Oryzias latipes: one gene and its partner. The protein of the gene in region 1 purifies or fractionates together with the protein of each later gene. This does not show direct contact. Links are inferred from orthologs where the notes say so. Each region holds a gene or a part of one and is shown on either strand. Other genes may lie near its edges.

What was found.
Region 2: the proteins of bms1 (region 1) and rcl1 purify together in Homo sapiens (co-immunoprecipitation; 4 studies listed by BioGRID and IntAct, with this or other methods). This does not show direct contact. The link is inferred for Oryzias latipes from reciprocal best matches to the Homo sapiens genes BMS1 and RCL1.

Annotation. Positions count from the first base shown.
Region 1 is NC_019877.2:23,414,602-23,417,894, forward strand, and holds the end of bms1 (ribosome biogenesis protein BMS1 homolog), read left to right. Parts: intron 1-386; coding exon 387-445; intron 446-535; coding exon 536-658; intron 659-874; coding exon 875-1,022; intron 1,023-1,309; coding exon 1,310-1,485; intron 1,486-1,607; coding exon 1,608-1,769; intron 1,770-1,920; coding exon 1,921-2,148; 3' UTR 2,149-2,578; downstream 2,579-3,293. UniProt on the Homo sapiens protein: GTPase required for the synthesis of 40S ribosomal subunits and for processing of pre-ribosomal RNA (pre-rRNA) at sites A0, A1, and A2.
Region 2 is NC_019870.2:15,888,622-15,892,882, forward strand, and holds the start of rcl1 (RNA 3'-terminal phosphate cyclase-like protein), read left to right. Parts: upstream 1-1,266; 5' UTR 1,267-1,355; coding exon 1,356-1,485; intron 1,486-1,902; coding exon 1,903-1,974; intron 1,975-2,074; coding exon 2,075-2,250; intron 2,251-2,483; coding exon 2,484-2,558; intron 2,559-2,696; coding exon 2,697-2,821; intron 2,822-3,204; coding exon 3,205-3,330; intron 3,331-3,409; coding exon 3,410-3,566; intron 3,567-4,261. Other genes in the region: ak3 (GTP:AMP phosphotransferase AK3, mitochondrial), read right to left, coding at 299-446. UniProt on the Homo sapiens protein: As part of the small subunit (SSU) processome, it plays a role in 40S-ribosomal-subunit biogenesis in the early pre-rRNA processing steps at sites A0, A1 and A2 that are required for proper maturation of the 18S RNA.

The DNA of each region.
Region 1 (3,293 bases):
ATGCACCACAATGTCGTACATTGAAATGGAAATGAGGCTTTTCACAGCAATCGCCAGGTTTGTTCAAATAGATGAATCTATTACAAGTGTTGATGAATTGATCGTCCTGGCTCTGCCCGGAGGTCTTCTATGTGTGGACGTAAACATTTCTGCTGGGTGTGGAAAGCATCCCGACCTCCAGCCGGCTCTTTAAGGGGAAGTGAAGCGACTGACCTCCATAAAGACAGGAAGCTTCGTTTGGCTCGGCTGGTTGTTTTTAATCTGAAAACTGTGTCAAAACGACACAAACACAGTTTAAATTCTGTATTTTGAAGTCAGGACGTGTTGAAAAGATGTTTTGCTGTCATATTTACGCGTGGTCACCGTTTAACCTTATCGTCCCAAAGGGCCCATCACCCCACAGGGGACCGGCTTCCTGGCTCTGCAGTCCGTGGCAGGAGTCAAAGTAAGTCGAGCTAAAAAGTGTTTCCCGCTCCGCAGGTGAAAGCTAAACTCTCTGACGGGGTCTTCGTCTCCTTTCTTTGTTTGTCTGCAGGCCAACTTTCGCATCGCGGCCACAGGAGTGGTCCTGGATCTTGATAAATCTGTGACCATAGTGAAGAAGCTCAAACTGATTGGTTATCCCTACAAGATCTTCAAGAACACTTCCTTTGTTAAGGTGAGAAAGCAGATGTTTGTCCATCCTCTGATGGAGGAGCAGTTCTGTGTCCGACCTGTGGATCTTTCCTCGAACTCAAAGGAGAAACCAGCTCTGAAAGATGAAAACTGAGGCTTTTTGCTTCATTGAGTCTAAATAAACGGGTCAGATTGGACCCGACTTGATGTGCAGCAGCGGCAGAAGACGCTGATGCTCCTCGTCTCCTCTGGTCTTCAGGGGATGTTCAACACGGTGCTGGAGGTGGCGAAATTTGAAGGAGCTTCGGTGCGGACGGTTTCGGGGGTCAGAGGTCAGATAAAGAAGGCCCTGTCCACACCTCCGGGGGCTTTCAGAGCTACGTTTGAGGACCGCCTGCTCATGAGTGGTGAGTTTCCTGAAAGCTGAGGATGTTGACTGCAGCAGGTGGGCTCAAAGGAGGGATTCTTTTTAGTGTTTGAGGCCTTTTGTGTGGCGTGCGCCATCAGTAAGTTATCAGGTTACCGGCTTCCTTGAGGAGACGGTTTCTCCCAATCAGGATGGAGGATTGGGGTAACCTGGTTGATCAGGGAGGTTTCTCTCTCGGGGTGTGAGAAACCGCTGCACCCCTACGGTCGCCATGTTTTCCCCAGAAAGCATTCGAACGAAGTCCGTCTTTGTGCATTTGTGGTGCAGACATTGTGTTCCTGCGTTCCTGGTATCCGGTGTCGGTTCCTCAGCTCTACAACCCCATCACCTCCCTGCTGCTGCCGGTCGGCCAGAAGGACGGCTGGTCGGGGATGAGGACGCTGGGGCAGCTGAAGCTTGACCTGGGCATCCACAACAAGCCCAACCAAGACTCTCTCTACAAGGTACAGCAAACTGAAGTGGGATGCACTTCTTTGTATAAACCTCAGAGGCTTGAAAGTGATTTTCTTTTCAGGTCATCCACGGCGTTTGTAACCTCTACAATCACTTTTGCCTCCCTTTCTAGCCCGTGGTACGAGCCCCGAGGCATTTCAACCCCCTGCACATCCCCAAGGAGCTGCAGAAAGCCCTGCCCTTCAAGAGCAAACCCAAACAGCAGCAGGCGAAGGGAAAGACGCCCAGAGACCTGCAGAGGCCCAAAGTGATACGAGAACCCCACGAGAGGAAGGTGAGAAAGCTCGAGCTCATGACTGCATCAGCAGCAGGAATGAAGGTTCACCGTCAGTCCCATGAAGGGAGGACGCCCTCCCCACAACGCTTTTCGAGAAAAAGACAATGTTGTCCTGTAAATGTGACGGTGTCCTCTGGCGGCCCAACAGGTGGCGGCTCTGCTTCACGCTCTGCGCACCGTCCACAACCACAAGAGGAAGAAAGCCCACTCAGTGCAGCACGCCCGGCACAAAGAGTTCCTCCAGCAGAAGGAGAAGGACGAGGAGGCGAAGATGAAGAGACAGAAGGAGGCCCGCAAGAGACTTTACAGAGTCATGGGACAGACGGAGCAGAAGAAGCAGAGGTCCAGTCTGAAAGGAGAGCAGAAGGACTCGTGACCCCAGAGTTGACCCGAGCCTGACGGCCTTTCTGTAAATGCTTTCATGGCAAATGTTTGTGATGGTTGCTCCCTCTTTTAATAAAACTCTAGGTAATAAAGCTGGTCTGACTTTTGAAACATGGAGTTTAAAGGGTTACCGGTTCTGGAAAACCTTTTTTCCTTAAAGTCCCACACCTGCAGTTCATTACAATTTCACCTCTGAGTTGTAGGCGGAGCTATTGGTGCAGAGTGACCCTCCCCTTCCCGTCACCCATAACCGAGAGCTCTTTATTTGCACGCTCACTCTCCTACTAGCTTTCCGTCCCTCACACCTCTGACACATGTCTGTCGCAGGGCTCTATGGATACATTTGGAAAAATATCTGAATTACGTTTGAAGAGCTTTTTTGGTCTGTTAATTCAAAGAGTAAAACTTGTCATGTGAACCAATAGTGCTGCATTTTTTTGGAGTTCATGAGACAAAGTTATTAAAATAATATATAGAGGCTTGGAATATTTCAGTTTGTGTAATGATTTCAAAATAAAATAAATACAGGCTTCACTATTTGAATTTACTGACTATAAACTTTGAACTTCTTAAAGATTTTCTGTTTGATCCACCTGCATGAAGAGCGACTTTTATTTTGAAGGCTGAAGCCGTCTATGGAATAAACTTACAAATAAAAGCGAATTCAGGTCGGATTCCAGCTTAAGGAAATCTTAAAATACATATGTTTGACTAATATTATCATTGAAATTACAAAAATGTGTAGATATTTCGGGCATAGCTCAATGAATGTAAAAGGGAAACTTTTTTTTTTTTTTTAAATACAACGGAGGCTCTTGTTTTTTCTGTTTCCGGTCTGGGGCTCAGCTAGCTTCACAGAGTCCCATCATCTCGGGGGTCGATCAGAGGAGTCCAGAGGGGTTCGTCTGTGTCATTCATTTATCTGCTGTGTAGTGTCGGCTCATTCGCGTCGCCCCCCGTAGAATAATGTCGTCTCAGCATCACAGCGGTCTGTTTTCATTTCCGGCTAACGGACCTGTCACCTGCGCGTCGAATCGGAACAAATAGCTTAGCTAATGCTAATGCTGCTAGCTTGATGGATTAGCTTGGCGCACAGCAGAATATCTGTCAAATGTCAGGGAAAAGTTCCTAAAGTTT
Region 2 (4,261 bases), on another chromosome or scaffold:
ATCCACATCCAAGGTGGTTCTGAGGATAAGCTTCATGGCGAAATGCAGGCTTGTGTCCCTGCAGATGTTTGGAGTAAAAACATGACCCTGTCATGCAGACTAGTTTGACTTCAACCTGGGAGAAACATGTTAATTTTGCTCAATTTAAAGAGATAAGAAGTTCTGCAAAAAGAAAAAAAAGGAGTGGTACACTTTATCAGGACAGACCAGGAAACCAACCCCTGCTACTGCCAATTTAATTTAATTCAAACTTCATCTATGGTTTGGGATGAAACTGGATTAAATTAAATATTTTTACCTGTTTGTTGCTTGATGTTGGCCCTCAAAATATCCCCGCTGGAGATGTGCTTCACTCCAAAACTTTTGACGATGCGTGCAGACACCGTCCCCTTCCCGGAGCCCGGGGGTCCCATGATGACAGCACGAAGGATCCTCTGCGCGACCATTTCCCCTCGAATGGAACTTCGAGTTTAAATGAACGCAAATTGCGCATGTGCGGGGCGGGTTCCGGGATGCCTGGCTGGACCGGACCGAACCACGAACTGAAGTATTACGAACAGACTACGCAACAAAGGAGGGGACGTGTCTTGAGGAGCCGCTCTCTCCCTCCACTCTGTTTTCCCCCCCAGCCGTGGAGGAAGAGGAGGAGAAAGAGGTGGAGAAAGAAGATGAGGCTGGCAGCTAACTAACCCAGCTAGTGACAGACAGCATGTGCGCGCAAATCCCCTCCAGACGCCGTCCCGTCCCTCAGAAATAAGACATTTCCCCCAAAGTACCCAGTCATGCCGTCTGGGAAAGTGTTGGGCTTTATTGTCGATGAATTTGTTGTATAATATAGTTATATAATTGGTTTTCGGGCGGCAAAGCCCTCGCTGGTTGGCAAGGTGACGGTGATTAATCCCATGGCATCGACTTCTGTGCAATAGGGTTTCAGCTTGGCCGCTTAAAAGTTCTGAATGAATGTTTCCTTTCTCTCAAACCATGTCAATTTAAAAAAAATCTTAATTTGTTCAAATAAAGAATAATTTGTTAAGGGGAAACCCTTAGCCCTTATCGTTTAAAGAAGGGTTTTATCTCCAAATACGTCGTTTCTTACTTTTAAAATGTTAAAAGGAAGATAAATGTGTTTTTAACCGTCTTTGTCACCGTTTGGTATCACTGTGGCTTTAAGAAAAACTAAGGCTCCGCCTGTCTTGTTATAATGAATGGCCATATGTCAATGAGGCGAAGCGCTTAAGGAGAAAAAAAGGACCTTTTTGGCCTACTTGATATGCCGTACTCGCCCCTCCTATTGTTGCTTCCTGCACAAACACACGTGGATTCTCCTGCTGCCAAGCATAGAAACAACAATACAAATGGCAAACCAGGGACTCTCTTACGAGGGGTGCAATTTTTTAAGACAGCGGCTAGTTTTGTCAACACTTAGTGGGAAACGTGTCAGAATTAAGAACATACGATCTAAAGAGGACGACCCAGGGCTGCGCGGTAAGTTGCAGCTTGACTCTGCATGTGGCGTCGTAGTTAGCTTGGTGGCTAAGGGCTAGCTGTTACGCAGTTGGGAATCAGTGTTGTCACCGGGATTCTATAGTGGGATAAATGACTAGGAAGACTGTCAATTAAATAGAATTCATTTTTGGTCTTCCTATATATATTTTTTTAATTACAATATTGTCATAAATAATATTCTTTGATGTTTTCATAGCTTTATTTTGCAAACTTGTACGAAGAACATACAGATGAGTGTTCATATAACTAAGTAATTGGATAGTTTATTTTTAGTGTTTAGTAAAAGCTCAAATTTTCATTAATTTATTTTTTGGAATAGAAAACTTTTGATTTATTTTCTATTTTGATGATTTTTTTTATTCTTAATAACTAAAATATGCTGTTTTTCTTTTCCAGACTTTGAAGCAAGCTTCATCAGACTTCTTGATAAAGTGACCAATGGCTCAAGAATAGAAATTAATCAAACAGGTGAGTATTAATGTTTTGTTTTTGTTTTTTGTGTGGAAATATGCTGAATATGACTTTTGTGATTGTTTTTCCATTTGTCTACAATTATTGACTTTTCTAGGAACTGTGCTATCCTACCAGCCTGGATTGTTGTATGGCGGCTCTATAGAGCACGACTGCAATCCTCAACGCTCCATTGGATACTATCTTGAAGCTTTACTCATGTTGGCTCCTTTCATGAAGATGGCTCTGAAGGCAACTCTCAGAGGAGTTACTAACGACCCCAATGATCCAACGGTGACATAAATATTCTACTCTTTAAACCAAGTTTTTGTAAACAAAACAAAAAAAAAAACTGGGTCCTGTAGTCAATGTGTTTAAGTGAACTTTTCCCATGATCATATAGACTTTCCAGTCTGGGGTTTGCAACCTGACTTGATAGTATGTGAACATGACAGATGTCGGTGTTGGGCTGTGACAGTTAGTTGTGTTGGTTTACCTTCGTGGTTATTATTTGTCTTGTTTTGCAGATTGACCTGCTGAAGACCACGGCTGTCCCTCTGATGAAAAGATTTGGAATTGATGGGGAGGGATTTGATCTCAGGGTGAGTACATACTGGTAGACCAGTGATGAAGATAATTAAAAAGCTGGATTATTCTGTGTTAAGCACAGACACAGATGACTCTGGCCCACAACTACATGTATTTAATTTATATGTATTTTTTGGCTGTTACACCCTCAGGTGGTGAAAAGAGGGATGGCACCTGGTGGTGGAGGAGAGGTGGTTTTGTCTTGCCCCATCCGCAGAACTCTCAAACCGGTCCAGTTGACAGAGCAAGCCAAGATCAAGAGGATTAGAGGAGTGGCGTATCTTTGTCTAATTGTCCCTTTTTACATTTTTCATGCATAGAAATTTATTTAGATTAGCTGTCATTTTGATTTATAAAAAGTTAAAATACATGCAAATTATCCTCTTTATTATCACAATTTACATTTCTGACATCTATTGCTCTAATAGATGTTGCTCATTTAATTCTAAGTCTGTTTTCTTTAGTTATTTAGAATCAAGAATTTATATTATAACAGAGTAGACACAGGTAAATTCTTAAGTTCTTGGCCCATTGTACACAGTGAAACACAGAATCTCAGAAAGAAGTATCTGAATAGATTAGAATAAGAAGTAACGGTGCAGAAAAACACTTTTAAAGTCAAATCTAATACAAATCTAAGTCCTTGACTCAGAAGTTCAGATATTCTGTGCGAGTTTCTCCTCAGATGGCCAACAGGATTGTAGAGTCAACCAGGGCTGTCCTCAACCAGTTCATACCAGACATCTATATTTACACAGACCACATGAAAGGAGCAAACTCTGGCAAGTAGGTATCTCCATAAACTTTCCAGCACGCGGTATAGTGCTGAATCAAAAAGTAAGACATTAACAAAGTGTAACTGCAGGTCTCCAGGCTTTGGTTTGACACTTGTGGCCGAAACCCAGAATGGCTGCTTTCTCGGTGCGGAGATGTCTTCAACTCCACAGGGGCAAGGAGACCCCATACTGCCAGAAGACCTTGGCAGAAACTGTGCCAAGTTGCTCTTGGAAGAGATATACCGGGTAAGGACAGACTAATCTCTGAAAGCATCAACTTTCATATCAACGCTGTGGTTAGAAGGTTGTCCTTGAAGGGTAAAGAATGAATATTGTCTAGGTCCGTTTTCGTTCATTAAAAACATGCATGCCCATTTTGCCATTTAGGTTGACAGATGTGAATGCCAAATTGCTATAAAGATGCATTTTCTTCGTTTTTTCCTGTTCAATCCTTCTTTTCCTGGGCGCTCTCCAGTCCTTTTCCACTGATTTAAAGAGGCGTTTGCACAAAACTATTCATGCGATCATGTTTGTAATGCTTTAACTTAGAATAATAGGTTTGATTCAAAATCTACATGGATTTGACACAAATAGACTTTTCTCCATTATTTACCAGTTTGCACGCTTACTCATTTTATCGCTACAGGCAGGTTGAAGCTTATGTTGCTGAGCTACAAAACAAATTGCATTCAAAATTCCAAGCATGTGCTGCTGCATTTGGATAATGCAAAAAGGCTTTCTGTCCAAACTGAACTCCCACTAAGTGCAGTCATGCTTTACACAAGCAGTTCCAAATTCATTTCTAGCATGTGGTTTACACTTATTTAAATTATCTTCTATAGTGTATGTAACTTGACAAAGTATATCTTAAAACACCACCAGTTCAGGTAGCTTTAAAAAATGTTTAGGTGGGTGTTTGTTGTAGTGTTGAAGAAACTCAG